Linked DNA regions of Ovis aries. The protein of the gene in region 4 interacts with the protein of the main gene of each other region in a biochemical or structural test. Links are inferred from orthologs where the notes say so. Each region holds a gene or a part of one and is shown on either strand. Other genes may lie near its edges. The genes, in order: PANX1, granzyme B-like, GSN, CASP3 and HCLS1.

Region 1 (6,418 bases), on a different chromosome or scaffold from region 4:
CCTACCCAGCTTACCCTCTCAGGGAGCCAGGCATGCAATGCTTTAGAAGAGCTGAGCAAAGTATCAAGCTTAACCAGACCAGGGGTCTATTTTAATTCTTACATCAATCCAACATCAGCAGCTCACCTTGCAAAAGTCTTTAAAACTCTCCAGCCACAACTCAGAAATTAAATGATTCTCCTAGCAACTCCCTCCGGAATGGCTCTGCTTGTAATTCCGGCCGCCGCAGGGCAGGCAAGACCAATGAGCAATGACAGCTCCAGGTTGCTGCAAAGGCCACCAGTGTGCCCTCCACCATGCCTGTGGGCACAGCCCCGCTCTGCCCTTCCACACCACATCACCTCTGTGATGACCCACAAACGCTGGACAGATGGCTAGGCAGAGCCCCTTCTGCTCCCACCTCCCAGAGCGTGCAGGACCCCACCAGACCAGATCCACACACTCTTTCCTGTACCTCTTCTCTCCTCTCTGAAGTCTGTCCTCTGGCTTTGTCTAATGTCATCCCTGGTCCTGCCTTCCTCCTCTCGAATGTCCTGAAGCTCTCAGTATACAGGAGTCTTCTGACAGCTTCACCCAAGCTCCTGCCACCTGGTGCTCAGAGCTTAACACTGCCCTGTCATTGAATCACACACTGCTGAACCACCTTACCTCCAGCAAGTCTGTTCCTGTGCCCAGCTGGATGGTAAACTCCTACAGGGCGGGGAGGGGACCACACCTCAAACTCCTTCAACCCCTACCCCCACCCCCCGCCAGTAAAAAAAAAAACAGCAAAAGCTCAGCCTCCCACTGGGTAAACCTATCCAAAGTAAATGCCTTTCAGACAGCCCATCAGTTAGAAGGGGCAGACAGCACTCTTAAGAGTCTCTGGAATACGTGGGCTAGAGGTAAGGTTTGATCACAGATGGTACCCAGCTCCTGGCATCAGATGGCTGCTCCCCCATGGCAGAGCCCACGTCTCCCCAACTCCTGGGTCCTCAGCACCCAGCACTGGGTCCTCAGGAAACATTCACTGAAGGGACAGATCATCTCCAGAATCCACGCTACATTGTGGTTTTCCTTTCTCCCGGAAGCCTCAACTCACAGGAAGGCAGAGGGAAAGCTTCGACTATCAATGCCTGCCCAATGACAAGGAAAACTGAAGACTACTTTTCGAAATGAATTTGGTGACTTCCTACCAAGTTGAACAATTCTGTGGTGCAGATCACAAAATCAAGCTCACTGTAACCTTTTTCTAACCAACTCTTCCCTCAACTTCACTACTTCTGTCAATATGACTCTCCAATCACTAGGCCTGCAGCCTTTCCGTTATCTCTGATCAGTTCAGCCCTTTGGGGCCTCTGGAAAGCTATACACCCAACAGCGAGGCTCCTTGCTCCTGGAAACCTCCCATCCTTTCCCTTCTAGTCGTGGGGCCCACACTCACAGGAGACCTCAACTGATTCCGAATCTTTCTGGCATCATTCCTAGCTCTAACCTCCTCCCCTTCACAGACCTTACACACTGCTGCTGCTAAGTTGCTTCAGTCGTGTCCTCTGTGCGACCCCGTAGACGGCAGCCCACCAGGCTCCGCCATCCCTGGGATTCTCCAGGCAAGAACACTGGAGTGGGTCGCCATTTCCTTCTCCAATGCATGAAAGTGAAAAGTGAGAGTGAAGTCGCTCAGTCGTGTCCCACTCTTAGCGACCCCATGGACAGCAGCCCACCAGGCCCCTCGGTCCTTGGGATTTTCCAGGCAAGAGTACTGGAGTGGGATGCCATTGCCTTCTCCAGACCTTACACACTGCCCTCAGCCTATTACTTATTAAGTGCTGTTTTCAGCTAGTCCAGCCTCTACTCAAATCATAACTTTTCACTTTTTAAACCAAGTCTTCTGTTCTCACTGACTCAGGCCCATATTCACTCTCATATGTCGGAAACCCTGACCAATCCTTCCGCCTCAGCGAGGATACTCTCTCGCTGAGTCTGTCCTTCCAGGAACTGGGCCTTCTCGGCCATCTCAAAATCTTGGCAGAAGTGTCAATTCTGCTTATCCACATCCTACGCACGGGCAGGGGCTCAGGGCCAGCCCAGCTTCTCACACAAGCTTTCCCCATCCTTCAGCCCACTGGCCACCTCCGCTCCACAGAGCTGTGTATAGCCTCACAGGCTGCCTTCCTGTTGACTCAAAACACTTTCCCCCCACCCCATCCCCCACCCCGCCCCCGCCAAAGTCAGAACAGCTGGTAAGGAAGACCAGCTGCTTCGTAGCCACGTGATCCTGCCCAGACCACCAGACTTTCAGAATCTCACAGAACTGTTGCTATAACACATGAGAATTTACATGAAGGCGATTCATTCATCTCACATTCCAAAAAGACCATCCAGGTAGAGGATCTGGATATCCTTCTAATACTGGCCAAGAGCAGTTATTTCCCATCATTCACAACCCTGCAGCTGCTGTCTCAGTACACATTAATTTAATGTAAGACAAGGGAGAAAGCACTTTGATTGGGGTACTTTTTCTCATATCCTCCATTTAGACACTAAGGAGCTTCCCTGATACAAATTTTGGGTGACTGCAGAAATGTGGGCGTGGAGGGAAGAGGAAACAGTTGTTCCAGGCAAATCTAGTGACAACGGCGCCGGTCTTAGGAGTGAGGCTTGAACACTAAGCCACAGTCAGCAGTAGGCACTGACTGGGCACACTGCCAGTAAGCCATCAGTGGGCAGCAGGGAACAGGCGAACTGGGGAGTGGGACACGAGCAAGGTCCACGGTTCGGGGAGGCGGGGAGCACGTGGACAAAGGATGCTTCAGACCATCAAATCTGGCTACCTTCCTTCCCAACGTGCATATGCCCTTGACAACGGCGAGCACCGCCAGGGGCGCGCGGTAAAATCACTTCCAGCCAGAGACCAGGGCACCTCTGATAACGCCGGCCCAGCCCGCCCCGATCCCGCCAGCCCCGGACCTCACCAATGGAGATTTCTTGCGCGAAAGCCAGCGAGATGAGCAGGAGAGGCAGCCCCACAGCGATGCACGTGACCATCTTGTCCACGGCTAGCTCCAGCCGCAGCCCCTTAAACTTGGGTTCCGAGGGCTCCTTCAGCAGGAAGTCCGAGAAGACATACTCGGTGGCAAGGTGCGCAATGGCCATGGCTGCGGCGCGCCGGGCTGGGCCGGGCAGGTTCGCGAGGCAGGCCTGCGGACTGCCGGCGTGGGGAGGGCCGTGCGGCGCCTTCGCCCGTCACCAGCCCAGCCCGCGGGTTTCGCTTTCCCTTTGCCTGCTCCCCGGTGGCTCCCACATTCCGCCGGTCTTTGCACCGTGATGCGCCACAGCCATTTTCTCCCGGCGCCTGGCCTGGAGTGTCCCGGGGCTGCTCCGCGGGCACGGGAGCCCGGGTCGCGCCCGCTCCTCCACCGCAGGCCGGGGCGCAGCCACCCCGGCAGGTCCCCGGGCTCCGCGCCGCCGCCGCGCGCCCGAGGGCGAGAGTCCGCGGCCAAACAAAGCACGAGCCGCGCCGCGAGGCCCCGGCTGCGGCCGCCCCGCGCGCTCTCGGCCCGCCCCGCGCGCTCTCGGCCCGCCCCGCGCGCTCTCGGCCCGCCCCGCGCGCTCTCCCGGAACCTCGGAGGAGAGCGAGCGCCGAGGGAGCGCGGTGTTTCCGGGAGCCGGGGGGCGCGGTGAGCGCGGCAGCGCCCGCAACCCTGGGAAAGGGGCGTCCGGGCGAGCGGCACCTCGGCTAGTCCTCGCCCCCCTCCCACCCTCATCCCCTCCCCTTCCGGGCGCCGGGAAGTTTGAAGTCCCTTCCGGAAGTGGCCTGTCACCCTGCAGACCGGACGGCCCCCTTACGCCTCACCCCCAGCATTTCTACATGGCGGGATCGGGTCAGAAGGTGGTGCAAAGGGCGCCATAAAAGGCGAGCGAACGGGTTAGACGGAGCAAACGTGGAAGACGGGGCACTTAACTCTTGCAGGAACACTGGGGGCCAGGGAGGTGCAGGCTCAGAGTGGTGAGACTGCGCCTGACTCTGTCTCAGGGGTCTGTGCTTCGCCTCTCGCTTTGCCCACGGGAGCCTTGATCTGGGATGCTGAGAGACAGTCAAGAGACGCTGTGATCAGCAACACTTGGAGCTGGCAGGACCTTTGAACAGGAGGGCTCCTTGGGCCGGGGCTGACGTCTCTGCTCTTTGTACACGGGCAGGTCCGTGCAGCCAAGCCTATTCTGTGTGCGCTCACCTGCCCTGTGTACATCTCCACCCCGCCCTGCCCTCGGAGTCCTCGTCCCACGGCCTGCACGACCCTCCGCTTAGGGGACTCATGGGACCAGGACCACACAATGGCCAGGAACACAACCCGCATCCCCTCTTGGCCTGAACTCCAGTCTTCCCCATCTTGCTCAAAGCAGTGCCATGCGACCATGCGCCCAAACTAGACACCTGGACTGCCTTGTGTAACAGCGCCCTCTCTCCCAGCTCCCTTAACCAATTTCCAAATTCTCTGGCTTCTAGCTCCTAAATATTGAACATCTAGTCATTTTCCTCCACCTGTGCTGCCATCCTCTCTCCTAACCACGTACAGGTAGGCCCTGCAGGCTGGGAAGCCCTTCTCCCCAGCAGCTGCCAAAGGAAGCTTGTAAAATCTCCAGTATTATCCTATCACTCCCCTTCTTAAAGTGTACCTTGTTTTTAGGATAAAATTCAAATTATTTTGCATGGTCACTGCCTGCCTTACCAGTTGCACTACTTTCCCTTCAGTTCTTCAACTTAGCCAGCTCTTGCCTCCTCCAGACCTTCACCTGCCCCAAAACACATCCACAGTAGCCTCTTTGCCTGGACTGTTCTGCTCGATGTCACTTCCCCTGGAGGGTCTTCCTTGCAAACACTAAACAGGATTAATTTTTGTTAATCCTTTGTTAAATATTCTTGTGATACCAGCTGCAGGCCTTGGGAAAGTTGCATGCCCCCTCTGTACCTCATACTGCTTAGGATTGAGGTAAAGATTGAAAGAGTTAATATACATAAGGTGCCTAGGACATTGCCTGGCGACTGATGAATGCTGTGTACATGTTATCCACTGTTCCCCTCTATTTTTCTTCTTAATGAAAATCACAATTCACTTCAGTTCACTTGAGTTCAGTCACTCAGTTGTGTCCGACTCTGTGACAACATTAATTGCAGCAGGCCAGGCCTCCCAGTCCATCACCAACTCCCAGATTTCACCCAAACTCATGTCCATCAAGTCGGTGATGCCATCCAGCCATCTCATCCTCTGTCGTCCCCTTCTCCTCCTGCCCCCAATCCCTCCCAGCATCAGAGTCTTTTCCAATGAATCAACTCTTTGCATGAGGTGGCCAAAGTATTGGAGTTTCAGCATCAGTCCTTTCAATGAACACTCAGGACTGATCTCCTTTAAGATGGACTGGTTGGATCTCCTTGCAGTTCAAGGGACTCTCAAGAGTCTTCTCCAACACCACAGTTCAAAAGCATCAATTCTTAGGCGCTCAGCTTTCTTCACAGTCCAACTCTCACATTCATACATGACTACTGGAAAAACCATAGCCTTGACTAGATGGACCTTTGTTGGCAAAGTAATGCCTCTGCTTTTGAATATGCTATCTAGGTTGGTCATAACTTTTCTTCCAAGGAGTAAGCGTCTTTTAATTTTATGGCTGCAATCACCATCTGCAGTGATTTTGGAGCCCAAAAAATGAAGTCTGACACTGTGTCCACTGTTTCCCCATCTATTTCCCATGAAGTGATGGGACCAGATGCCATGATCTTAGTTTTCTGAATGCTGAGCTTTAAGCCAACTTTTTCGCTCTCCTCTTTCACTTCCATCAAGAGGCTTCTCAGTTCCTCTTCACTTTCGGCCATAAGAGTGTTGTTATCTGCATATCTGAGGTTATTGATATTTCTCCTGGCAATCTTGATTCCAGCTTGTGCTTCTTCCAGTCCAGAATTTCTCATGATGTACTCTGCATAAAAGTTAAATAAGCAGGGGGACAATATACAGCCTTGACGTACTCCTTTTCCTATTTGGAACCAGTCTGCTGTTCCATGTCCAGTTTTAACTGTTGCTTTCTGACCTGCGTGTAGGTTTCTCAAGAGGCAGGTCAGGTGGCCTGGTATTCCCATCTCTTTCAGAATTGTCCACAGTTTATTGTGATCCACACAGTCAAAGGCTTTGGCATAGTCAATAAACCAGAAATAGATGTTTTTCTGGAACTCTCTTGGTTTTTCGATGATCCAGCGGATGTTAGCAATTTGATCTCTGGTTCCTCTGCCTTTTCTAAAACCAGCTTGAACATCAGGAAGTTCATGGTTCACGTATTGCTGAAGCTTGGCTTGGAGAATTTTGAGCGTTACTTTCCTAGTGTGTGAGATGAGCGCAATTGTGCAGTAGTTTGAGCATCCTTTGGCATTGCCTTTCTTTGGGATTGG
Region 2 (6,590 bases), on a different chromosome or scaffold from region 4:
ATGGAAGTGAAAGAAGAGAGTGAAAAAGTTGGCTTAAAGCTCAACATTCAGAAAACGAAGATCATGGCATCCAGTCCCATCACTTCATGGGAAATAGATGGGGAAACAGTGGAAACAGTGTCGGACTTCATTTGGGGGGGCTCCAAAATCACTGCAGATGGTGACTGCAGCCATGAAATTAAAAGACGCTTACTCCTTGGAAGGAAAGTTATGACCAACCTAGATAGGATATTCAAAAGCAGAGACATTACTTTGCCAACAAAGGTCCTTCTAGTCAAGGCTATGCTTTTTCCAGTGGTCATGTACGGATGTGAGAGTTGGACTGTGAAGAAGGCTGAGCGCCAAAGAATTGATGCTATTGAACTGTGGTGTTGGAGAAGACTCTTGAGAGTCCCTTGGACTGCAAGGAGATCCAACCAGTCCATTCTGAAGGAGATCAGCCGTGGGATTTCTTTGGAAGGAATGATGCTGAATCTGAAGCTCCATTACTTTGGCCACCTCATGCGAAGAGTTGACTCATTGAAAAAGACTCTGTTGCTGGGAGGGATTGGGGGCAGGAGGAGAAGGGGACGACAGAGGATGAGATGGCTGGATGGCATCACTGACTCGATGGACGTGAATTTGGGTGAACTCTGGGAGGTGGTGATGGACAAGGAGGCTGCAATTCATGGGATCGCAAAGAGTCGGACATGACTGAGCGACTGAAATGAACTGAACTGAACTGAGTACAAATTGTCTTTTTTAACCACAGAGGAAGGAAGCTAGAAATGAATGAAAAAAGGAAAACTGGAAAATTCACAAAAAGGAAAATATATGGAAATTAAACAACACACTCTTAAGTAACCAGTGGGCCTAAGAAGAAATTATGAGACAAGTTAGAAAGTACTTTGAGACAAGTGAAAATGAAAATGCAACATACCAAACGTATAGGATGCTGTGAAAGTCATGTTCAGAGGAAAACACATAACTATACGTGAGGACATTAAAGAAGAAACATTCCTAACCAGCAACACAACTGTAAGCCTAACAAAATAAAAACAGATCAAACCACTCAAGCCAGCAGATATAAGGAAACACTAAAGATTAGAGCCAAACAATCAAAATAAAAAGAATCAACAAACCAAAAGTTGGTTCTTTGAAAAGATCAATAGAATTGATACACTTTTAGCTAGACCAACAAAAAAAGAGAGAGAGAAGATTCACATTACTAAAATCAGAAATTTAAAAAAGGGGACACTACTACCAACCTCAGAGAAATGAAAAGAATTGCTAGAGAATACTATCAATGTTTGCATACCAACAAATTAGATAAAATCAAGATGAAATGAACAGTTGCCTGGAAATACAGAAATAACCAAAGCTGATTCAAAAATAAATAGGAAATCTAATCAGACTTATGACAATAAAGATTGAATCAAAAATCAGAAACCTTCTAACAAAGAAAATCCTAGGCTACCCTGGTGAATTCTATAAACATTAAAGAAGAATTAACACTAGTCTCACCCAGACTTGTTCAAAAAATTAAAGAAGGGGGAACACTTCCTAATACTTCCTACTATCATCCCAAGTATTTTAAATGCACTGCCATGATAATAATCTATCTGTGAGACATAAGCAAATGAGTAATATTTTTCCTTTCTACTTTCCAAATTTTCTTAATGAACATATACTACACACAAATAACAAGGCTAATTTTATTTTTAAAATTTCTACTGGTGGGCAAACTAAGTTCAAAAAAGTAAATGTTCGATAAATGTATTTGGTTTGATAAGGAGGATATTTACCCTGAAATTATGTCTTTTGATGCATAATATTCCTCAGAAAGCTGTAAAGTACAGACTACGTCAAGATAGACACTTAAATCCCCAGACTCTAACCACTCAGAGATTCTCTGTTGTTCTTGAACAGGGCTGGGTTTGGACTATTTAGAAAGAACTGTCCTTTATTTCCATACAGCAAGGTCTTCAGCAGAGTTTGTTCAGCCAGTGTGAGCCTCTAATGTGCCTGGCCTGCTGAGTCTGAAGTGTGGCCCTCTGGACACAGCACAGACAATACTCAAAGGACAATTACTGGTCTTCACTCACCCAGCATGCTCTCCCACTTCACATGGCATGGGCCACTTAGTCATCCAAACTTCCTTTGGCGAACCAGCCCTTTCCCAGTCTTAGTTCAGGTGGTTTAAGTGGAATCCGCCCCAGCCTACTCAAAGGAGGAATGACCTAGGCTTATATCAATCTGTATATTCAGTTTCTAGAGTCATAGTGATTCATTAAATTAGACCAATAAATGCCAAGCGCAGTACGTTTGTTTGCGAAACATGGACAAGAGAAATGTACTCTATCACTCTGAGTATTTGTAAGTTTTTTAAATGGTGGGGGTTTTTTGGTTTTTTAATTAATTTATTTTAATTGGAGGCTAATTACAACATTGTAATGGTTTTGCCATACATTGACATGAATCAGCCACGGGTGTACATGTCTTAGAAAGGAAGTTAAGAGGATGAGTGGATGGCTTATGGACTTAGTAGGGGGCAGGCGAGCTCTGTGCATCCCTGGACCACAGCCCTTCCCATGCTGCACTCAGGTCATGGATGTCTCTTTCTCCTCCAGCAGATGGTCAGCTCTCTAAGGGAAGCAGATGCATCTCCAGTGTGTTCGGTCATAACATAGAGAAGAGCTTAAACCCACATCTGCTCAAGAAGTTATCCTGTGGACTCAGCAGCATGGAAATGAGGCCCTGATGGTTCTACCACTGGGGACTCTGGTTTCTGGGCTCTACTACCTCTGCTGGTCGATACCACACCCTACAGTCCCCACCTTGTCCTCTTGGGTTCCTGCTCTGGGCTGGAACAAGTGGTCTGCTCTGAGTCATCATCTGTGGGTACTGGTGTGGTCACAGTATGATTCTCACACAACCACCCAGAGAACGTCATCAGGCAGATGGAGTGGGGGCGGGGCAAGCTTTCATAGAAAGCCTTTAGGATGAAGCATTGCAAAGCCGGAGGGGAACACGAGATCACTGAGTCCACGGACACTGCGTTTCTCTCCAGGAGGCTGGGGGATCTGCAAGAGAGCCAGGAGGAAGTACCAGCATCTCCATCCTGGGCAGTCTTTCTCGGAAGATGCAGCCACTCCTGCTCCTGGTGGCCTTTCTCCTGACCCCCAGGGCAAAGGCAGGTGAGTGACCATCCCCATCCCAGGGGCCCAACCCCACCCTCCAGGTGGCACAGAGGTCCCGCCCATTCTGCATGTCCCTGATCCAGCTATCCACCAGGAAGGAACATTCAGAACACCAGCTCCCATCCCACCTCATACCAGGGAGTATGATGCTGGATAAACCGCCAGCAGGAGAGAGAGAGTGCAAAGCCTGCTCTCAAGAGGAGCCAGTGGGTACCAGCCCCTCCTCCAGCCCTCCCTTTGCCCTCTGGAAAGTAGAACTTTCCCAGAAGTGATGGCAGATGGTCGCAACCTGGAGAAAAGAAAATACTAAATTGCCCCTGAAGAGGGCAGAGTGGGTCTGGCCTCTGCTTCTAGTTACCTCAGCATCTGCTTGGCAGACCCTGGAGTTGGTGCCTCTGTGTTTGCTCAACCCCTAGACCCAAGGCCCTTTACCCAACTCAACTTCCCTTCCCAGGCCATCAGGTGCTCCTCTCTTTCAAGGATGAAGCCAGTGTTTGGTAGACCTGAACTGCTCTGCTTCCCAGAAGCACACCAGCACTGGCCATACCAACAGCCCCCATCCAGAGGCCCACTGTGAGCAGGGAGGGTGCAGGAGGGGGCATGGTGACTCCTTCATGCAGCCAACAAACACCGGGCACTTACTACCAGTCAGGCCCTGGGAAAGAGGCTATGGCGACATCTAGGTCCCTACTCTGAATTCCTATGCCCTGAAAAACAGAGCCGTCCTGAATAAAACAGGATAATGGGGCCCTTAGAAATTCACCTAGAATGAAGCACAGGTCGGGGAGGAATTTTCAGAAGCCTCTAGGACTTGGCTATCCCTAGGACAGGAATGAAAAGTGAAAGTGTTGGTTGCTCAGTCCTGTCTGACTCTTTGCGACCCCAAGGACTGTAGCCCACCAGTCTCCTCTGTCCATGGAACTCTCCAGGCAAGAATACTGGAGTGGGTTGTCATTCACTTCTCCAGGGGATCTTCCCAGCCCAGATATCGAACCTGAGTCTCCTGCATTGCAGGCAGATTCTAAGCTCACCTCCAATTATGTGTGGGAGACAGATTCGCAGACCCAGACAGCTGCTCTGTTCTAGAGGAGGAAGTTGAGCCCCTTCCCAGCCTCCTCCCGCCCCACCAACTCCAGGCCAGGCTGGACTCCCCAGTGCCCAGCAGTTCTGAGCATGAAGCCGATGCCAACAAGGTACACAAGCAGAACAGCCCTTTTCCTTCAGGGGAGATCATCGGGGGCCATGAAGCCAAGCCCCACTCCCGCCCCTACATGGCGTATCTTCAGTACTGGAATCAGGACGTCCGGCATAGGTGCGGTGGGTTCCTGGTTCGAGAGGACTTCGTGCTGACAGCCGCTCACTGCCACGGAAGGTGAGGAGCAGCAAGTAGCCGGTACCTTTCTGAACACCCTTGGCAAGGGAGCCCTGCCTTTTTTCTCCAGGAGCAACCAGGCTGTTAGGAACATTGAGCCAAGAGGGTTCCTGGGAGGGCAAGAAAGAGGGGGCCAGGAGAGTGAGAGGGTGAGAAAGAGGGAAGGTCACTGCTGGAGGTGTTGCTGAAGGGAGAGAGAATAGACATAGGGCGCGCCTGGATATCAGAATGTAAACCAATGTAACTTCACATGTGTCCTAGGGCTAACTGCCCATGGAGAACAGTTATGCTCTTCACAGTGGCTCCAGAATCTGACCTTGGCTGCCAAGAAACAGACAGTACAGACAGCTTAGCCCCCAGGGCCCTCCTGGGGCCTGCATTTCCCTCAGTGGCAGCCTTGCCCTGGAGTCACCTGCCCTCCATGGCTCCAGGGCTGTAAACCCTGAGGTTGTGACCCCCATCTCCTGCTCTGCTCTCTGTGAAGCTCAATGAACGTCACCCTGGGGGCCCACAACATCAAACAGCAGGAGAGGACCCAGCAGGTCATCGGGGTGAGAAGAGCCATCTGCCACCCAGACTATAATCCTAAAAACTACTCCAATGACATCATGCTATTAAAGGTAAACCGCCCTGCTTCTCCTGCCCTCCCGGGATCAGCTCGTTTCCCCTCCCAGGACCTCCTACCGCTTTCTCCCCTCCGATCCTGGCCACCTGACCAGTCCCTGTGGCTCAGGACAGAGAAGAGACACATCAGCGTCATTGCCGTGTCCAGGCTTGGGGACCACTGGCTGAGCCGACTCTTGTCTCTTCCCATCAGCTGGAGAGAAAGGCCAAGCAGACATCAGCTGTGAAGCCCCTTAGGCTGCCCAGGGCCAAGGCCCGGGTGAAGCCAGGACAGGTGTGCAGCGTGGCCGGCTGGGGGAGGGACTCCACGGGCACCTGCACTGACACACTGCAGGAGGTAAAGCTGACCGTGCAGGAGGATCGAGAGTGTGAGGTCTACTTACGCAAATATAACCATACCAACCAGCTGTGTGTGGGGGACCCAAAGACAAAGAAAGCTTCCTTTAAGGTGAGAATCACAGCCTACCTTGCTTGGATCTGGGGAGAAGGGTGTTGGCAGAAGATCTGGGACCTGGGGACCACCTCACCCTCTAGGCTTGGGATCTCTCTCAGGAGTAAAAGGGGGAACAGCCGGAGCTGGGAGGACCTAGAGCCTCTGCAAGCCACGTAAGACCTACAGTGAATGCCAACCTGGCGCTCCTCCGGAAGGGAGAATCTGCCACGCACTGAGGCTCAGGTGTTAGAAAACCAGGCTTCCTGAGTGGGAGGTGGACCGGTCCAGGTGCCTGCTCAGAGCTGAAACCCACCTGCTTACTGAGCTCCCCCTCCCTGATCAGTGTCAGCCCTCCCAGCTGCTTCCCTGTCCTAAGAGCAGCCTGGAGCCAATAGCCAGCCCTCAGCATCTAGACAGAGAGGGGACGGAGACCTGGGGGCAGAGAAGGAGCTGCCCCCTGGGGGAAGTGAAGCAGGGACAAGGTCCAGGTCAGGGCTGGCAGCCAGGGGCCCATAGACCTGCCTTGCCCACTTGTCTCGCACAGGGACGCCTTGCAAAGTGGCCTTCTCAGATAGGGGTCTTGAAATGGCAGGGTGGGAGAGAGGGCAGGACCAGGAGGAGAGCAGACTCAGTCCTTCCGCTTCTCTGTCCTCAGGGGGACTCTGGAGGCCCTCTCGTGTGTGACAATGTGGCCCAGGGCATTGTATCTTATGGACGAGAAGATGGATCAACTCCTCGGGCCTTCACCAAAGTCTCAACTTTCCTGCCCTGGATAAAGAAAACCATGAAAAGCCTCTGACTGCAGGAACCAGACCATCTTCCCTGGGGCTAATCCAGAATCACACTGTGGGGTTGGAGGTGCCCATAGCTCAATAAATGTCTCTCAGCAGAGCTCGAAGGGCTGGTTGCTTATTTATTCACTGACTCCTATTCACAAACGCTCACTGTGTGTTTAGAAAGGCAATGACAGGATTCTGCTGTT
Region 3 (5,857 bases), on a different chromosome or scaffold from region 4:
AAGACAGTGGTGCTTCACACGTGTCGACCGAGCGCATGAACACACAGAGGAGCAAGCCGATTAAGGAGCCAATGGAGCAAAGCTGCCCGCAGCTGAACGGCTAAATTGCAAACCTTTTGGTATCGATCTTCCAACCAGGGAGCCCAAGAAGAAGCCAGGCAGATGGCGGGCAGTCTCACACCTGCGTGGCTGCTGTGTGCAACCCTGACAACTCGGGGAAGAGACAGCTTGCTAGGAAGGGCTACTGACTGCCATCCCCCACGAGGACACAGGGCCCTTGGGGACAGGGGTATGTCTCCTTCTAGCTGAGAGATTACGCCTGCATGAGATGTGAACCAAAGTCTAACTTTCTCTACCAACAGGTTCAGAGTAAGAGTTCATGTTCCCCTAAGGCCTGAGAAGAACGCCGGTCATCTGATTTGCCTCTCTAAGGTGCTTTGCTATTGGCAAGGGGATTCTATCTGCCTCTCATCTGCTGGGATCATGCAAGGTAGGCACCATCACGCCCATTCTGCAGATGAGGACATGGAGCTCAGAGAGGGAAGTTACTTGTGGGACCGTCTGTTACCTGGTCCCAGGTGTCCAGAAGCATGACGTCATCGGTGGCCAAGTCTTCCTGCATGAGCTCACCAGGGACCTCTTCGATCTAGGAAGGGATGGAAGAGGGTAATGAGAGCCCACCTGCAAACCGCCGTCCCCCAGCTCTCTCTGCCCTCCATGGGGAGGGCTGAGCTGGCTCCAGCCTGTGGGGGTCTGCACTGGGTCATCGAAGGTCTCTCCCTGCCCCCGCTGCGGATACCTCAGCTTGCTCCCTGGAAAACACCTCCCAAGGGGCGAGCAGAGGCAGCGACCTCAGACCTCCCCTGGGACTCACCACAAAACGTCCGATCTTGTTGGAGCAAGCGAAGAGGCGAGGAGGGTGGGCGTCCATCTTCTTGTCCTTCAGCCGTGGGGACGTGCGGTAGGCGGCCTTCCCACCCAGGGCCTCCCAGAAGCTATCTGTGAGGGGAGGCCATGCCAGTTACCAGCCGACACCACCTCCCCCTCCAGCACTTCCTTGTAGACTCTGGGACAGACGCTGCCTTCGCACAGCCAAGTGCTCTCAACCGCCACCCGGCATCTTAAAACCCCAGCATGACAAAGAAGGAAAGGGCCTGCAGGACTCGAGGGTGATGAAGCAGAGGCCCGGGAGGGTGGACTGGGCAGCAGACACAGGGCCGGGGCTGCTCCTGGTCTGAGACAGGCGACGCCCTCGAGGCGGCTGAGGCTCAGAGAGGCCGAGCCACTCGCCCAGCGCCAGACAGTGCACGCGGAGTAAGCTCCTCATCCAGCTCCTGTTCCCTGTACTTTCCCACTATAGCTGCTCTAGCCACGTGTGCTTTTTATTCAAATGCATTTTCCCAGCAGTCACATTTAAATACATGTTAATTGAAGCATGTGACTGGCGGTGGTTTAGTCGTGTCTGACTCTTTTCCAGCCCCATGGACTAACCACCAGGCTCCTCTGTCCACAGGATTTCCCAGGCAAGAATACTGGAGTGGGTTGCCATTTCCTTCTCCAGGGGATCTTCCCGACCCAGGGATTGAACCTGAGTCTTCTGCACTGGCAGGGGGATTCTGTACCCCTGGGCCAGCAGGGAACCCCATAGGCACGTGACTCGTGGCCACCGCATGAGACCTAGCAGACACGGGACATGTCCACTCTTTCCAACGTTTTCAGTGGATTATGTGACTCTAGACTGAACTATCCTTCCCCATTTCTGCTCAGCATCAAGCAAGAGAGAGCGGGCTTAAAAGTAAGGAGGGAAAGATCTATGGTTAGCATAATGGAAGTGTTCCTGACCCACACTCTGGAAATAAGGCAGGCTTGTGGCATTTCTGTCCACGAAGCTTCTCAAGGTTAGGCTGATGCTGCCACCTACAATCTTTCACAGCTTTCCCGCAAGTGAGCCCCACTCCAGCTGCCTTCCCCGCCTGCCCCAGCCCACACTGAGCTCTCCTTTCTCTAACTCCCAGACGCCTCCCTCTCACCGACCGCATTCTCATTTTCATCTCGTGTGTACGTGTTAGTTGTGTCCGACTCTTTGTGACCCCATGGACTGTGGCCCGCCAGGCTCCTCTGTCCCTGGGATTCTCCAGGGAAGAATACTGGAGTGGGTTGCCATGCTCTCCTCCAGGGGATCTTCTCAACCCGGAGATCAAACCCAGATCTCCCGCATTGCAGGCAGATTCCTTACTGTCTGAGCCACCAGGGAAGCCCCGTTTTCATCTCACCCACTTTAATGGACACACGTTAAGGGACAAGTACTGAGGCAGGAGGAGGTTAACGAAAGCCCCGAGCAGACAGGAGGCAGGGGAAGCCAGCAGCTCCGTCCCCAGCGAGCAGCAAGCCCCCCGCCCCTCACTCCTACCTGGCTCGCTGCCTTCTGCCACCTGCACGGGTTGGGCCCGAAGCACCCTGAGCAGCTCCAGCGCCCCAGTCTTCTCTGCCTCACTGGCTCCCGCACCCACCCACAGGTAGGCGGCCGAGGGGGTTTTCAGGACAAAGGCATCGTTGGAATTCAGTGCTCCAGCCTTGGGCATCACCTGGGAGGGTAGTGCTCAATTAGTCAATCAGGAAACAGGTAAAAAGGCTTCAGCCCCCTCCTCACGGTCCAGGAGATGCTGCAGCAAGAGCAGCTCTTAAGGGTGGATTTGGAGGAGGGAGCGTGTGCCCCATCAGAGCTGAGGACAAGGACTCGGGACGCTGAGAGGCCTCGCTGACTCCCGTGAGTCACAAATGCACTGTGCTCAGCCAAGGAGACTCTAGAAACCTGGGATGCATTAATAGAAGTTGAGCACCCAGAACAAAGGAGGTGATGATCCCATTGTCCTCTAGGCTGCACAGTAGGATTATGCTCAGCTTCTGCACCTTCCACCATGAAAGGGACAGCAGCCAAGTGGAATGGAATCAAGAACAACATCCAGATCGTGAAGAATGGACTATTTGTTAGGTAGTGACTTGCCCGTCGTGGAAGGTATGCAAGGGACACTGGGCATTCTTGAAACAAGGGGAACTCTAATACATACAATCCTGCTGCCAGGGCAGGGAGATACAAAAAGCTGCTTCTTAGCCCCTCAGCCACCCCCACCAGATCCAGAGATCTGCCCATCAGGCCTGAGAGGTTTCTGAGAGGCCAATCCTGCTGGGGGTCCGGGGCCCGGGGCATTACCTCCACGGCCCGGGTGGCTCCAGAGCTGCTGGCCCGGACCTGGAAGAGGCGGGTGCTGGCAGGGGCCGTCTGCCCACCCTCGCGGGAGGTGCCACCCCTGTAGATGATCATGGGTTTCCCGCCGAACAGGCTCATGAGGTGAGCGGGCTCCTTGCCTTGGACCACACGGCTCTGAGAGGGAGATGGGAGCACAGGTCAGGAAAGGGAGGCACGAGCATCGTGCTGTGCACACACACTGGGCTCAGATCAGGGCAGCTGGCGTGGCCCAGGCTCACCCCCAAACAAGCCGTCACGCTTGGGTCTGTGTGTGGAGCGGGGCGTGGCCCTACAGCGCGCAGGGGCTGGCCGGGGAGCAGGACGTGCAGGAGGGCTGGAGATGGCCCTGCTGGCTGAGGTCCCCCGGGCACTGCTTTGGCGTTTCCCCTCCCACAAGGCCTGGCCTGGCTGAGGCTGGGTCCAGTCCAAGAACCCAGAGAGCCCATGTTTGCAAATATTCCCTTAAATGGAAGCCCAGGGATGGTTCGTGGACATTCTTCCCGGACTGTGACGTCAGCCTCGGCCAAGAAAGCTGGCAGAGTGGTGAGAAAAGAGCCTTCCAGGTCTGGAGAGAGCCCTCCTGCAGAGCCAGTGCAGACTGCGGTCGAGGGCTTGGCGGTGGGAGGAGGGGACAAGGAGGTCTGAGCGGAGGACGGACCTCCTCTGTCCTCCCATCTGCTCCTGCCCTGTGTGCCCGCGTCACTTCAGATTCCAGCTGTGGCCCGTGCTGCCTGTATCCAGATCACCGCACACGGTGGCTCGTGGTCCCTTCCTAGCAAGAGCCACCACTGCTGGGTCAGAGCCTAGACCCCAGCTCCACCCTGCTGGTGAGAATTCAGGCCGTGTGTGATTATACACCCTCTGCCCGCATGTCTAATGAACCTCTTTCTCCCACGACTAGACTGTAATAAACCACATCACAGCGGTTCAGGGCAGGGCGGGGCTGGGAGCCGGGGGGAGGATCTATCTGTGTTCACGTTTGCAGACGCAGCGTCCGCATCCTGCATAAATGTCTGTCAAAAGGATGGATGCGTGGGATGAGGGACGGTCAGATGAGTGAGCAGCGGGCTGGGCTCACCTGCACGGGAGTCCCTCCCAGCTCCTCGTCCAGCTGAGCCGTCAGGATGGCCGAGGCGGCGACCTCATCCTGGGTGGACTGGGCGCCCTGCCTGGAAGGGAAGTGAACCTCAGCACCTCGGTTTGCACAGAGGCCAGGGCCCCTCCGTCACCCTGGGCTTGAGAAACCCACAAATCTCCAGATTACAGGTAATGAAACTGACAAATAGAGAGGAAAAGAGATTTCTCTGAAAAGGAACCAGAGCCAGGAACCAGACCAACACACCACACACCCCAGCTCAGCATGTCGTCTTCTTACAGCGGTCTGACCACAACCAGGGGACGTCCTCGTCCCAAACCTGCCCCACAGGGAGATGCACGGACAGGGGCTTTCTGCCTCACCCCTTCCTCTGCCGTCTAAATTTCCCATGACTGACCTGTGTTATCTGCATAAGCAGTCTAACAGATCAACGTGCTGATCAAAGGAAATGTTCTAAAAGCCTTCTCGTGAATTTTGTTCCATGTGTGTATTATTAATATCTAGTCCAGAAACATTTCTTTCAAGCTGCTTGTAAAAGTCTGAGGTTGTCAAACTGAGAGGCAACCTACAGAATAAGACTAATGCTCTTCCACAGCATCCAAGCTGGGAAAGAAGAGTGATGCCTGAGGAACTGTCACAGATTAAAAGACGGAGAACACGATGATTAAATGCCACTGAGGAGATGTGATGACTAAATATCATGTGAGACCCTGGGTTAGATCCCAGGCCAGAAAAAGGACATTAGTGGGAGAACTGGCAAAATTCAAGAAGCATCTATAGAGGAGGACATGGTCTTGCAACAATGTTAATTTCCCAGTTTTGAAAACTGAACTATGGTTAAGTAAGAGGTGACCCTAGAGGGAACTGTAACAGATAACTGTCTGCACTGTTTTTGCAACTTTTCAGCAAGTCATTTCAAAACGAAAAGTTTAAAAAACAAGAAACCCATCAGTCAACCTTTAAGATTGCACAGAAAGAGAAATGAACTGAAAAATATTATACTGAGATATCATTTTATCAACTCTAAAGTTGACAAACAGCGGAAGTGTGATAACACAGTCCACCAGTGAGACCAGGAGGAAACAGATACTCTCATCTGTCACTGGTGAAAATGCAAACGGCACAAAGTTCATCTAGAGAAACTGGGTGCTATCTGTCAAAAGGACGAGCGCATTCACTGTCAGAGCCAGCAATCCAACTTCTGGGAACTCACTCTAAAGATATTTCTCTACGCATCCAAAATGATGTTTGTTTAAGCCAACTAATCATAGCAGTGCTTGTAATAGTAGGAGTCTGGAATCAAAGCAAATATGCATCCGCAGGGAATTTGTTAAATAAACTACAGGACAGCCACACAGTGGAATATTACATGGCTGTAAAAAAAAAAAAAAAAAAAGAGTAAGGGAGCTCTTTATGGACTGACATAGTCTGAGCTCCAGGAAGTATTAACTGAAAAAAAAAAAAGCAAAGTGCAGGACAGTATACACAGTATGCCATCTTTTGCATAAGGAAGG
Region 4 (5,575 bases):
CTTATACCCTCCCACCCCTATTCCTTTTTTATACAAACTACATCCTACTGTCTATAGCGTTCTGTGTTTCGTTCTTTCCCACCTCCTCAGGCATGCTGATCCTTGCCCATCAGTTTAAGAGGATTCTCCTCATTCTGTTTTACAGCAAATTGTGTTCCACTGTGGGGATGTATCTTTTTTACAGTTGGGTTGCTGCCATTTTGTACCATGAAAACAATGTTGCAATGAAGAATTGTGTATATACTTTTATACGTGGACAGGTTAGTTTGAATTTCAAGACCTGCGCTTGCTACTTCAAGAGTAAATGATTAGACAGCTATTGCTGGATTCTCCCCCAGCATTTTGCACTCTTACCAGTGGGAGAATACATTTCCCCACAGCTCAGCCAACATAGTGTTATCAAACTTGAGGATTTTTGTCAGTCTCACAGGTGATGAATGATACCTTAATTTGCATTTCTCTTATTAAGATGATTAATCTCTTCTTCTGAGGTGTAAAGGATATTTGGTCTTTCTTTTTCTGTGAACTATCCGTTCACGGCCCTTGGTTCATTTTTCTATCAGGTTCTTGGTCTTTTTCTTTTTAGCCTTTTTTATTTAGCAGAGATTAGAATGGGCTCAGGGCTTTCCTGGTGGCTCAGTGGTAAAGCATTGGCCTGGCAATTCAGAAGATGTGGGTTTGATCCCTGGGTCGGTGGGGAAGATTCCCCAGAGAAGGAAATGGCAATGCACTCCAGTATTCTTGCCTAGGAAATCCAATGGACAGAGGAACCTGGAGGGCCATAGCCCATTGGGGTTGCAAAACAGTTGGACATGACTTAGTGACTAAACAACCACAAAGAACGGGCTCAACTGTCAATGTACTACAAAACTACAGCTTTAACAGAGTCTTTCTTTAAAAAGTAATTTGCAGCACACAGGACCTAGTTCCCCAACCAGGGACTGAACCTCAGCCTTCTGCACCTCTAGCACGGTCTTAGCCACTGCACCACCAGGGAAGTTCCTGCAACAGCCTTAAAGGAGTTATTCCTGCTGCTCTCCACTCCTTGGAAATAGGAATCCCTTATTCCCAATTAGGAGAATTTCAGTTTTCTGACTTAAAAGTAATATATGTTTACTACAGAAATATTAGAAGAAATGCAAACCACTCATGTTTGCACTTATATTCCTTTGTTAAGAGGGAAATTCTTCCCCTCAACACCTCTCCCAGAGCTGACCATCGGGGAACATTAATGGTTTATTCCATACCTCCCCTCCACCATTAGCCCTGTTAACAATTTATGGGTAGAAAATGATTCATTTCAGTGATAGCCTTTATACTCTGCTACTCCCCATTCCTCAAAGCAAGGAAACAAACAAAAATATGGTCATATTTAGGGGCTGTGGTTTGTGAGAACTTAGTATCCTTCCTGGCATCATGTAATTTTAGAAACAGGGCCTTCTGAGAGGGCCCTAGAGGGAACAAGAAGGCTCCTTTACCCTATTTGGTAATTTAACACCATCTCAAAGTGTTTGATTAAACGGTCCCGTCACATCATTGTTGGTCCTCCCAAATCAAGCTCTTGGTTAAAAATATTTTAACTTCAATTAGCAGCACATCAGAAACAATAACAGGAACTTGAACTTATTGGTCATTTTAAATTAAAATTTGTATTTGGAAATAGAAATGCATAATAACAAACTTTTTACAAAATTGTCACATAGGAACATACCTTCTGATCCCACAGCATGCTTCATTCACTCAGAAAAAGTTACAGACACAATCAAAACAAAGAGCGTTCATTTATAAATGTGAGCACCGTTGTTTAGCACAAGAACGCTCATGGGAACCAGTGGGTTACAGCGATGCAGAAGGTTCAGCACCTCCTGAGCAAGCAGGCTCAGAGCCTCCCCGGTCTGCGTCCCATCTCTGGCCTTCAGTTTCCCTGGGCACCAAAGGAGGGAAGACTGGATGCCTGCTCAAGTCCTGGGTGCCCTGCTTCTTGCATTTCAGAGAAAAGTATACGATCATAACTGTATCATTCTCCCTTGATTGTAAACATTAACAGAATAAAAGTTAACATGCTCAAAAATTTTACTGCCGAGGGTACTATGATTTTTTTCCCCATTTTCTGCAAAGGATGGATGAGGGTCCAGACCATTAGGCCACATTCACTGCTTATACTGGAAAATGAGGAAATGCTAATGGAAATTGCTTTTACGGGCTGACATTCAGGAATGGCAGAAAGGGATGTTCTGGAGTGAGTGCAGGACTTGTTCTTCGGGAGAACCGTAGCTCCTGGACAAAGTTCCGTGGTGAGGTGTACACTTGGGCACATCCATGCCCATGCGTAGCAAAGGTGACTGAGACCTTGTTAGCCATGAAGGGGAAAGAGAAACCTTAGTGTTTTCCCCAAACACTCAGAGCCTTTTGTAAACCATATTCAGGTACTTATGCATTAATTTACGCAATTCCTGAGAAGCTGAAAACTGCAGACCTCCTCCCCTCCAGCGTCAAGTAAGAAGTGGACTGATACTCAGTGATAGTGATGTCAAGTCTATTTTATAAAATGGACTATCTGCAGAAAGGCGGATAAGAATTCGCTTTAACATCCAATTAAAAGCCATCATTTGAAATAAAACAAAAATTAGAGGGCTAGGATTTTTATGATGACTCTTACCCTCTTTGGAAAATTTCCATTTCAGAAGTTTAATTTGATTCACGTTCTTGGAGCTTCTTGCCTTGGGAGCATCTTCCACACACACCCATAGCTGTGAAGAATCTAGCCCGTATTCTTTTTCTTGAAGCAGTAATCTATGGCTCTGACCCCACCACACAGAGACTGCGCAGTGTCCATGGTCAGGCTCGAACCATCTTCTAATTATGGAGTGCCCAGCTGATGGACTGACTGTTTCTTCCTCCTACCTCACTGTTTATTGAAGTTGTGTTTTAGTATGTCCCTACAGAATTTCTTCAACTCACGCTCTTATCAGTGTGATCGAAGTCTGAGGTTTTGACAGAAGAGCCCTTTAGATATTCTGCAGGCACATGAGGCCCAGCAGCTGGTGGAAGAGTTGCATTTCAGCACCTTACAGTCCTCAATCTGAGGCCCTTTATGATTGCTGCATTTACCCTCAGGGTCAACTTAGTTTTTTCACACCTTCCCAAGTAAAACATTTAGTTCTTTTTCAATGCTAAAACATGATTTCTTTTAAACAGCAAAGATATGCTCAGCACAAACATCACAAAACCATGAGCTCAAACAGGTGATGTAAAAATACCATTGTCTTAAGATCAAGGTCTTCACGTCTTAGACCACACGTACGGACCATGGAGTTCTAGGATGCCTCATTCCATATCGTCACTGCTGTTGTTTGACAAAAACCATGGCATGTTCCCTGATACAGTGGCATACCCACATGGCTGAAATACACTACTGCAGTGTTTACCTTTTTCCATCATTGCTTGAATATGTGTAGCATAGCATCAGCACTAAACCTCGGTAATTAAGAGAACTGCTAATTTACAGTCATTTTCTTCTCATAATGATCCATATTCATTAAACTCAGTCTCAACTACCCAACTGTGTTTGAGGTAGCTGCACAGTAGTTCTATTGCTAGGAAGGCGGCATGTTTCAAAGTTATCACCTGGGTCATTAGGTTAGATTTAGAGGTGAGAGGAAAATATAGTATCATTTACACCGTTTGGTCACTTGGCATACAAGTTAAAAACAAAAATCATCTGTGTCTTCAGTGATTAGAAATACAGTTCTTTTGTGAGCATAGACATGATACAAGGAATCTGTTTCTTTGCATGAAAAGCAGAATCGGTGGAAAAGGACTCATATTCTGTCGCTACCTTTCGGTTAACTCGAGTAAGAATGTGCATGAGCTCGAGCTTGTGAGCGTACTTTTTCAGCATCTCACAAAGAGCCTGGATGAACCAGGATCCGTACTTTGAGTTTCGCCAGGAAAAGTAACCTATAGGGCAAAATATAACCAAAATATCACAGATAGTTGATGTCAGCTGATTTAATCAATTGTGACATATTCATGAAGGTAAAAAACAACATAAACATGCATTGGTATTATTAGCCATAAAAAGAAAAATATACCATAACTTTGGTTCCAGGGGAAAACAAAACAAAAACCAAGTAGATGTTGTCTATATACCTCTGCTTCTGACAAGGAAAACAATTGCAGGCTAACTGCACCACTGAGTGAGAATTCTACTTCCTGGGCTTCCCTTCCAATAGGGAAGAACAGGTTTATAGGCAGAAAATGCAAAAGCAAAGAAATAAAAAAGGATCATTATAAGTAGCATGGTGTTGCAGTGAGATGATTGGCTTATCCAACAACCTGCTTATGTACGCACATACATTTGAGGGTCTTAAATTTGTCTACAGGGAAAGAATGGAGTATAATAAACACATTATAGCATATTCAAAAGTCCAAAAAGGGGAAATAGTGTATTTATCGTTATTTTCCCAGATAAACTAGTGGATTCATTGCTGTGTTTTTGGCCACGTTGAGTGGCTTGGGGGACCTAATTCCTGGACCTGGGAATGGAACCCGGGCCCACAGTAGTGAAAGCACCAAGTCTTAACCACTGGATTACCGGGAAGTCCCTGGATCCACTGCTTTTAATCTGAACTGGAAAGATGCCTGGAGGTTAAAATAAATCATATCAACTATATTTAAAAATGTTATACTGTTTAAAAATACACTTGCCCTGTATTTCCAAACACACCCTGAGTTAGTTGTATGAGTAAACAAGTCCATGATCAATATATATTAATTTATATGATGACAAGCGCTCACACACATAACGTGTAATACAACCAGAGACAAAGCGCAGGTTGATAACCTAGCCATAAATCATTTTTAACCTTATTTTCTCTTGTTCCACTTCTACCCACTGATATGCTATTCATGTTTATCCTTTCAGTTTCCTAGCTCCCAAAGAATTCCTGGAAAACACACCTCTCTCCTATTTTAGGAAGTGGGCGAAGCTCTGACTTGGCCTGTATTATAATATGGATTCCAGGTGGTGTCAAGTTCATGAATGACACTGTGCAAATGTGCTTTCTTACACAGGCACATTTTCTAGCCAAACTGGGCTAAAGACAACTTTTTGAGACTTCTCCGTGGTTAGGGCACCCTAAAACAAGACACAGTGGCTTTTTATGGATATCAAAATCCCTATAGCCTTTGGAACACACTCTTCAGTGTTTAAAATCTACCTATTTCAGTATCTGTAAGTTTCTTACCAGGTGCTGTAGAATATGCATACAAGAAGTCTGCCTCAACTGGTATTTTCTGACAGGCCATGTCGTCCTCAGAACCACTGTCTGTCTCAATACCACAGTCCAGTTCTGTGCCTCGGCAGGCCTAGAGGTTAGAAAATAAACACCTATTTAAAAATTAGAAAAAAAAAGAAAAGAAACATTTATTGGAAAAAAATGTGTGTACATGCATAAATGTGTAACTTATCCCTAAGAAATGCAAAGGCTCTATAAAAACTGATGTTAATTATTAAGAATCATTTTGCTAGAAGTCTAAAAATTAAAGTTTATGCTATGTCTCCTAAGCAGTG
Region 5 (5,692 bases), on a different chromosome or scaffold from region 4:
CCTGCCAGGCTCTTCTGTCCATGGGAATTCTCCAGGCAAGAATCCTGGAATGGGTTGCCATACCCTCCTCCAAGGCATCTTCCCAGCCCAAGGATCAAACCCAGGCCTCCGCAGTGCAGACCCACCAGGGAAGTCCAAGAATACTGGAGTGGGTAGCATATCCCTTCTCCAAGGGATCTTCCTGACCCAGGAATCAAACCGGGATCTCCTGCATTGCAGGTAGTTTATTTACCAGCTGAGCTACCAGGGAAGTCCAATTGTTCCCTTTTAGTTTTAATCTTTTGTTGTTGGCCAATCTTTTCCTCCTCCTTTCCCCTAATTTGTGCTTCTGTCTCAGCCAACATCATGCACTAAAGAAATGTCATTACTCCCAGGTGGAAGGTGGCTGACCTCTCACAACTGCTGAAGCCAGTAGAAGTTGAACTGCTTAATGTAGACCCTTCCTGGCCCCTGTTTCCCAACCTAACTGCCATTCCCCAGGCCCATCTCTTTTTCAACTGGCTATCAGTATAGTCTAAGGAAAAGGCACAGCCCTTGACACCAGGGTTCAGAGTGATGGGCGGTGATTGGAAGGATTTTTCTGAATATGCGAAAGAGGGAAGGAAAATTCCCTCTACCTGTAATGAGAGTTAGGGGCATTGAGGGCCACGTAAAAGTACTATTTACCTCAGAATCACAAGTATAATATTATATAAGAAAAGAATCGCCAGTCCAGGTTCAATGCAGGATACAGGATGCTTGGGGCTGGTGTACTGGGATGAGCCAGAGGGATGATACGGGGAGGGAGGTGGGAGGGGGGTTCAGGATTGGGAACACGTGTACACCCGTGGCAGATTCATGTTGATGTATGGCAAAACTAATACAATATTTAAAGTAAAAAAAAAAAAAAAAGAATAGAGGTGAACCATGGTCCCACTTTATTTCCAATTTAGGACCGATCAGAGAGAAGAGTCAGAGATATCTCTGCAGAGAAGGAAAGAGAGAAAACAATACATCTAGGAAAACTAGGAAATATAGACATACCTTGCCATGCAAACAGACCAGGAAGCTCAGCACTCACAAAGGAAAGCAGAGTTAGGGGTATGGGTTAGAGGGGGCACTCACGGGGAAGGAGGCAGGACCACAAGATAAGCATCCCTGAGATCATCCTGGGTATGCAGGATAGAGAAGACACTGAGGGGAAGGAGACCCCCTTCTTCATGCCTCCTCTGCTCCAAAACCTGATGGAGAGGGAGAGGGAAGTCTGTCTAGAACTTCAAGCAACTCATGACATCCTGTCAGACACTTGCAGCAGAAATGGAGAGCAGCTGGAGGCAGAGCCACTGGGGACATGCGAAGTCACAGTGCAGCAAGGAGACAGGAACAGTTACTGGAGGAGCTTGACATAATTTGCAGGGAAGAGTCCAAAGTGGCCGTGGCAACGTCCCCGCCACCAGCCCTCGTCCACCATCTCAATGTCAGTGATGACATCATCTGGGTCAAAGGAAATCTCATCACTTCCCTCTGGGGAGAAAATTGACAGACTATTAGGATGGTCAGGCAAAAATCCCTCCACCCCTGTGCCCCCTTTAAAGCTCAGGAAGGGAAAGAGGCCTGTCCTTGATGCCAAGTCTGGGGCCCTATTCTGACCCCCCAAATCCACCCTCCTCTCATGGATCAAGGGGCTCCAGGCACCAGACCCCTCAGAGCACTCCCAACCTACCTCCTTGGTAATCATACAGGGCTACAGCTGAGATCCCAGCTCCAGCCCTGGCTGGGTGGCCTGATGATCCTGCACAGGGAGAAATATGAACATGGTCTTACCAACATGGAGAAGGAACACAGACAGGTCCTCCCATGTAATGGGGGAATTCTTCTGCCCCACCACTCACCAGCCTGAGTGGAAGAAAAAGAGGGATCCTCAGGCTCAAGCACATCCTCATAGTCCGCCTCTGCTTCCTCATCCTGCTCATGTCTGTCTATCTCCGCAACATCCTCGTAGTCATTCTCAGGCTCGGGTTCGGGCTCAGGCTCAGGCTCAGGCATTGCTTCATACACTGGCTCTTCCTGCAGCTGGAAGACTTCTGGAGTCCTGGGGGGCAGAGCTGGGGCCTCCTCATTGTCCTGAGAAAAGATAGTATACTTGAAGAAAGGTGACTTCTGTTTTCCAAGAGATGACTCTCCAAAACCTCCCAGTGGAGGACTGCTAAGACCCTATCGTCCATATGCTTCCACTTCCATGTCCAGTCCTGGCTCCTTCTAACAGCCTCTCCTAGGGAACAGTCTCTCACCCCTCTTCCTTCTTCAACCTCTTCCCACATCCATCCACTCAAAACATCTACCAACAGACGATGTTAATAGAAGGGGAATGTAAAAGGTATGAGGAGAAGGAAATGGAACATAAGACAGATTCCTTGGAAGACCAAGGAAAAATCTAAAAGGGGAAAAGATGACAGCTAGGATGACTGTCCTAGTCTGCCCAGGACTGGGTGATTTCCCAGAATATAATACTTCCAGTGCTAAGGTCAGGATAGCCCCAGGCAAACCAGGGTGGTTGATCAGCCTGCAGGGCCATGTCCACCTACTAGGACATGAGGAGATGGGAAAGGTGCAGATCTTTGGGGGGCGGTCTGCTTACCTCTGGGGGATCCTGCCTTGAGGGCAGGGCAGGTACTGGTTGTTCCCTCTTGGTTCTCACAGGCTCAGGCTCTGATGGTGGACAACTCCCTGCTGGAGGCCAGGCCTGTGAAGGATGAAGCATCTCTCCAGTGAGCAAGAAACTTTATCTTCTCTCCTGTACTGGAACACCCCTTCCTGTCTCTGCCTGTTCACATCTGTCATTCCTCAAGATGGGCTCCAACCTGAAATGACGCTCCTTCCTCTTGTTCTTGCAGCAGTAACTGACTGCACTGCGTGTTGAACTATGTAAATCTTGGGGTTTTTTTCCACTGAGCATTCTCATATGTATATATGAAGCTCAATTACACAATTAGATTTAAATCTTCCAAAGACAAGGATAACACTTGGAGATTTTGCTAGCACAGGGGAGTTCTGGGTCTTCCCTTTTACTAAGGATACAGACCCCCTAGGCTCTTGTCCGGGCAAAGAATGCTGGATGTGGATCCCGGAGGGCTGAGTACTTACCTCTGAGGAGATTTTCTTAGGCAATGGGGCTGGTGCCGCCGGCTCTTCCCTAGTGGCCACTGGTTGCTGAGCCTCATGGCTCATCTTTACCAAGGCCTTTCTCTCCTGTTGCTGCCTGGCCATCTGTTGTGCCTTCTCCTCTTCCTCCCGCTTCCTCTTTTCCTCTGCCATGGACTCAAATTTTGCCTTCAGCCCACGGGCGCCACTAGAAGCTACAGACACAGTCAAGAAAAATTAGGGTTGTCTTGGGTCAGAGGTAGGAGGGTAGCACTGGAAAGAAGAAGAGTCAGTTAAACATCCAGAAGAAGAGAAAATCAAGAAGGGACTCATGGAAATGGAGGTAAAGAGGTATTAATGAAGGAACAAGGGGCTTAGAGGAGGATAAGGTCGCCCTGAAGCCTAGATTTTCACATAGACAGACCATGTGATCTCAGGCTCTTACTCCTTTAAGGCTTGGTCCGCTAACCTGCATCCTTCCTTGTGCACATTTCTTAAATCTATATACCCTCAGGCTACCATCTACCCACTGTCCCCCATCCAAAGTTCCTTTCCCTTTGTGTTCTTCCCAGATGGCTCCCCTCATCCCTGTGTTCGCTACGTACAGTTTCTTCCCCAGTGTCACTCAGATATCCACCTAACCTAATTTTTTTTAGGATAGAGAATCTGGGAATTTGAGGGTAGGGGTCAAGTCTACCTCAGCTAACCTAGGTAGTTAAATGCTTGGAGTAGGTAGTCTAGGAAGAAAAAAAGAATGAGAAGGCAGAGGAGATTGAGGAGCACAGAGAGAGGGAATTAAAACTCACCAGCCTCTATGGGTGTCGTCTTCTTGTAAGCTGTGGTTGGGGCCTCCATTTCATTGAAGCCAACAGCACTCTGCAGGCAGAAGAATAGTATGTGTAGTGGTGGGGAGAGGGAAGGGAGTGGTAATGACCCAGAAGGCAGTATCAGGGATTGGGGCCACTATAGGAGGTCTCCCTAAACTTCTGATGCTCAGTAGTAGTTAGACAGGGTATTCAAATATTGTTGTTTTGCATCAGAGAGATGGGTAAAAAAGTTCTAGGCTTGTAGGACTAGCTGTCCCTTTAAAAAAGCTCAGTGCTCCTGGAATTTCACATCTTTTAAGACCAGTTGCCTGGAACGCAGGAGTACATGAAGTACATGCAGTACATGGAGAGGCGCAGGGGAAGACCGAATGGAGTGGGGCTAGATTATTGACTGAGCTAATCAATACCAAGCAATCAGTGAAGTTTTAAATACTTTTCCCTGGAGTCTGTCTGCCTCCCTGTCTCTCTCCGCCTCCTCAGTCTTCTTGATAAAGCTCAGGCATCCGAAGACACACCCATTAGATGCTGAGGGCAGTCAATGGGAAGAGCAGGAGGACAGTGCGGGGCACCTGGCTTTGCTCATCCTTTTACCCACTTTGCCTCTCACTCCCCTCCATGGATGTCAGGGAACTCTTCCCAAGACACTGGTGCTCCGGTGCTTTACCTTATCCACTCGGTCCTTCTGGATGCCATACTGCCCGCCAAAGCCCTTGGCATAATCTGCAGGATGGAAATATCTGAGAGTCACAAGAGGAGTTAAATGCTAGAAATGTATGGGAAGAGGGGGGAGGAGCATTGGGAAGGAGGACCAGAAGACAGGAATGAGGAAAACAGAGAGATCGATGAGGAAGTGTGTAAGTCAGGGGATAGACAGAGGAATGTGTGGGAAAAGATGAAAAAGGATGGGGGAGAAAAACACCTGGGAGAGAATGGAGATATGAGACATGCGAAGAGAGGAACAAAAAAGAGAGAAGTGGCAGAAAAGGGGAAAATATAAAGGAAGACACAGGAAAAATTAAAGCGAGAAGTTGCTGTGTAGCATAGGCAGCCCAGGCACTCTGTGATACCCTGGAGGGCTGGGATGAGGGGAGGGGAGGGAGGGAACGTATGGATAATCATGGCTGATTTACATTGTTATATGGCAGAAACCAACACAATACTGTAAAAAAATATTTTAATTTAAATTTTAAAAAATAGAAAAAAAATTAAAGTGAGCCCCCCAGCCATCCTCTATGTGTCCCAGGGAAGAAGGCCTCTCTCTGTGAAGCAGAGGGGCCTCTCAGATTCACAGCCAAATCACACTCTTGCCATCACCCAGCCTGTCCATCTTCACCCATTCCTCAATGACCCCTTCTCTTTGGTCACCTTCCTGTGTCCTGCTCCTAAGCTTGCTGCTCTCCTCTCCATCCCGGTGGGTCTCCCCCCACCTACCCCCATACATGTAATGCAGACTCTTCACCCTACCACTTCCTGCATACCTCATATTCTGGGTCCTCTGTGTCAACTTTCAGGAAGTGCAGAAGGAGGGCTCCATGTACGCTATGGCCTCCCTCCTCTCCAGCCCCAACTCACCTCTCTGGGATTCATGTTTCTCTGTCTCTCCCTTGTAGTCATATCCGAGAGCTGCCTTGTCCCGTTTATCCTCCTCTATCCCATAACGACCACCAAAGCCACGAGAGTAATCTACGGTGGAAGGAGCAGTTGTGAGAGCCCACTCTCAGGCCATGGGAAAGTGCTTGGAAGAA

The links.
Region 1: of the proteins of CASP3 (region 4) and PANX1, one has a biochemical effect on the other in vitro, tested with the Homo sapiens proteins (2 studies listed by IntAct). The link is inferred for Ovis aries from reciprocal best matches to the Homo sapiens genes CASP3 and PANX1.
Region 2: of the proteins of CASP3 (region 4) and granzyme B-like, one has a biochemical effect on the other in vitro, tested with the Homo sapiens proteins (2 studies listed by BioGRID). The link is inferred for Ovis aries from reciprocal best matches to the Homo sapiens genes CASP3 and GZMB.
Region 3: of the proteins of CASP3 (region 4) and GSN, one has a biochemical effect on the other in vitro, tested with the Homo sapiens proteins (2 studies listed by BioGRID). The link is inferred for Ovis aries from reciprocal best matches to the Homo sapiens genes CASP3 and GSN.
Region 5: of the proteins of CASP3 (region 4) and HCLS1, one has a biochemical effect on the other in vitro, tested with the Homo sapiens proteins (2 studies listed by BioGRID). The link is inferred for Ovis aries from reciprocal best matches to the Homo sapiens genes CASP3 and HCLS1.

The regions. Positions count from the first base shown.
Region 1 is NC_056074.1:245,772-252,189, forward strand, and holds the start of PANX1 (pannexin-1), read right to left. Parts: upstream 3,589-6,418; 5' UTR 3,136-3,588; coding exon 2,955-3,135; intron 1-2,954. UniProt on the Homo sapiens protein: Ion channel involved in a variety of physiological functions such as blood pressure regulation, apoptotic cell clearance and oogenesis.
Region 2 is NC_056071.1:32,606,268-32,612,857, reverse strand, and holds granzyme B-like, read left to right. Parts: upstream 1-2,999; 5' UTR 3,000-3,121; coding exon 3,122-3,176; intron 3,177-4,403; coding exon 4,404-4,551; intron 4,552-5,035; coding exon 5,036-5,171; intron 5,172-5,368; coding exon 5,369-5,623; intron 5,624-6,263; coding exon 6,264-6,407; 3' UTR 6,408-6,499; downstream 6,500-6,590. UniProt on the Homo sapiens protein: Abundant protease in the cytosolic granules of cytotoxic T-cells and NK-cells which activates caspase-independent pyroptosis when delivered into the target cell through the immunological synapse. It cleaves after Asp.
Region 3 is NC_056055.1:2,226,693-2,232,549, forward strand, and holds part of GSN (gelsolin), read right to left. Parts: intron 4,417-5,857; coding exon 4,326-4,416; intron 3,383-4,325; coding exon 3,212-3,382; intron 2,586-3,211; coding exon 2,411-2,585; intron 1,000-2,410; coding exon 875-999; intron 647-874; coding exon 569-646; intron 1-568. UniProt on the Homo sapiens protein: Calcium-regulated, actin-modulating protein that binds to the plus (or barbed) ends of actin monomers or filaments, preventing monomer exchange (end-blocking or capping).
Region 4 is NC_056079.1:14,231,927-14,237,501, forward strand, and holds the end of CASP3 (caspase-3), read right to left. Parts: intron 5,371-5,575; coding exon 5,250-5,370; intron 3,961-5,249; coding exon 3,737-3,960; 3' UTR 1,631-3,736; downstream 1-1,630. UniProt on the Homo sapiens protein: Thiol protease that acts as a major effector caspase involved in the execution phase of apoptosis. Following cleavage and activation by initiator caspases (CASP8, CASP9 and/or CASP10), mediates execution of apoptosis by catalyzing cleavage of many proteins.
Region 5 is NC_056054.1:186,963,111-186,968,802, forward strand, and holds part of HCLS1 (hematopoietic lineage cell-specific protein), read right to left. Parts: intron 5,631-5,692; coding exon 5,520-5,630; intron 4,668-5,519; coding exon 4,612-4,667; intron 3,997-4,611; coding exon 3,927-3,996; intron 3,336-3,926; coding exon 3,124-3,335; intron 2,723-3,123; coding exon 2,618-2,722; intron 2,104-2,617; coding exon 1,872-2,103; intron 1,772-1,871; coding exon 1,703-1,771; intron 1,504-1,702; coding exon 1,367-1,503; 3' UTR 1-1,366. UniProt on the Homo sapiens protein: Substrate of the antigen receptor-coupled tyrosine kinase. Plays a role in antigen receptor signaling for both clonal expansion and deletion in lymphoid cells. May also be involved in the regulation of gene expression.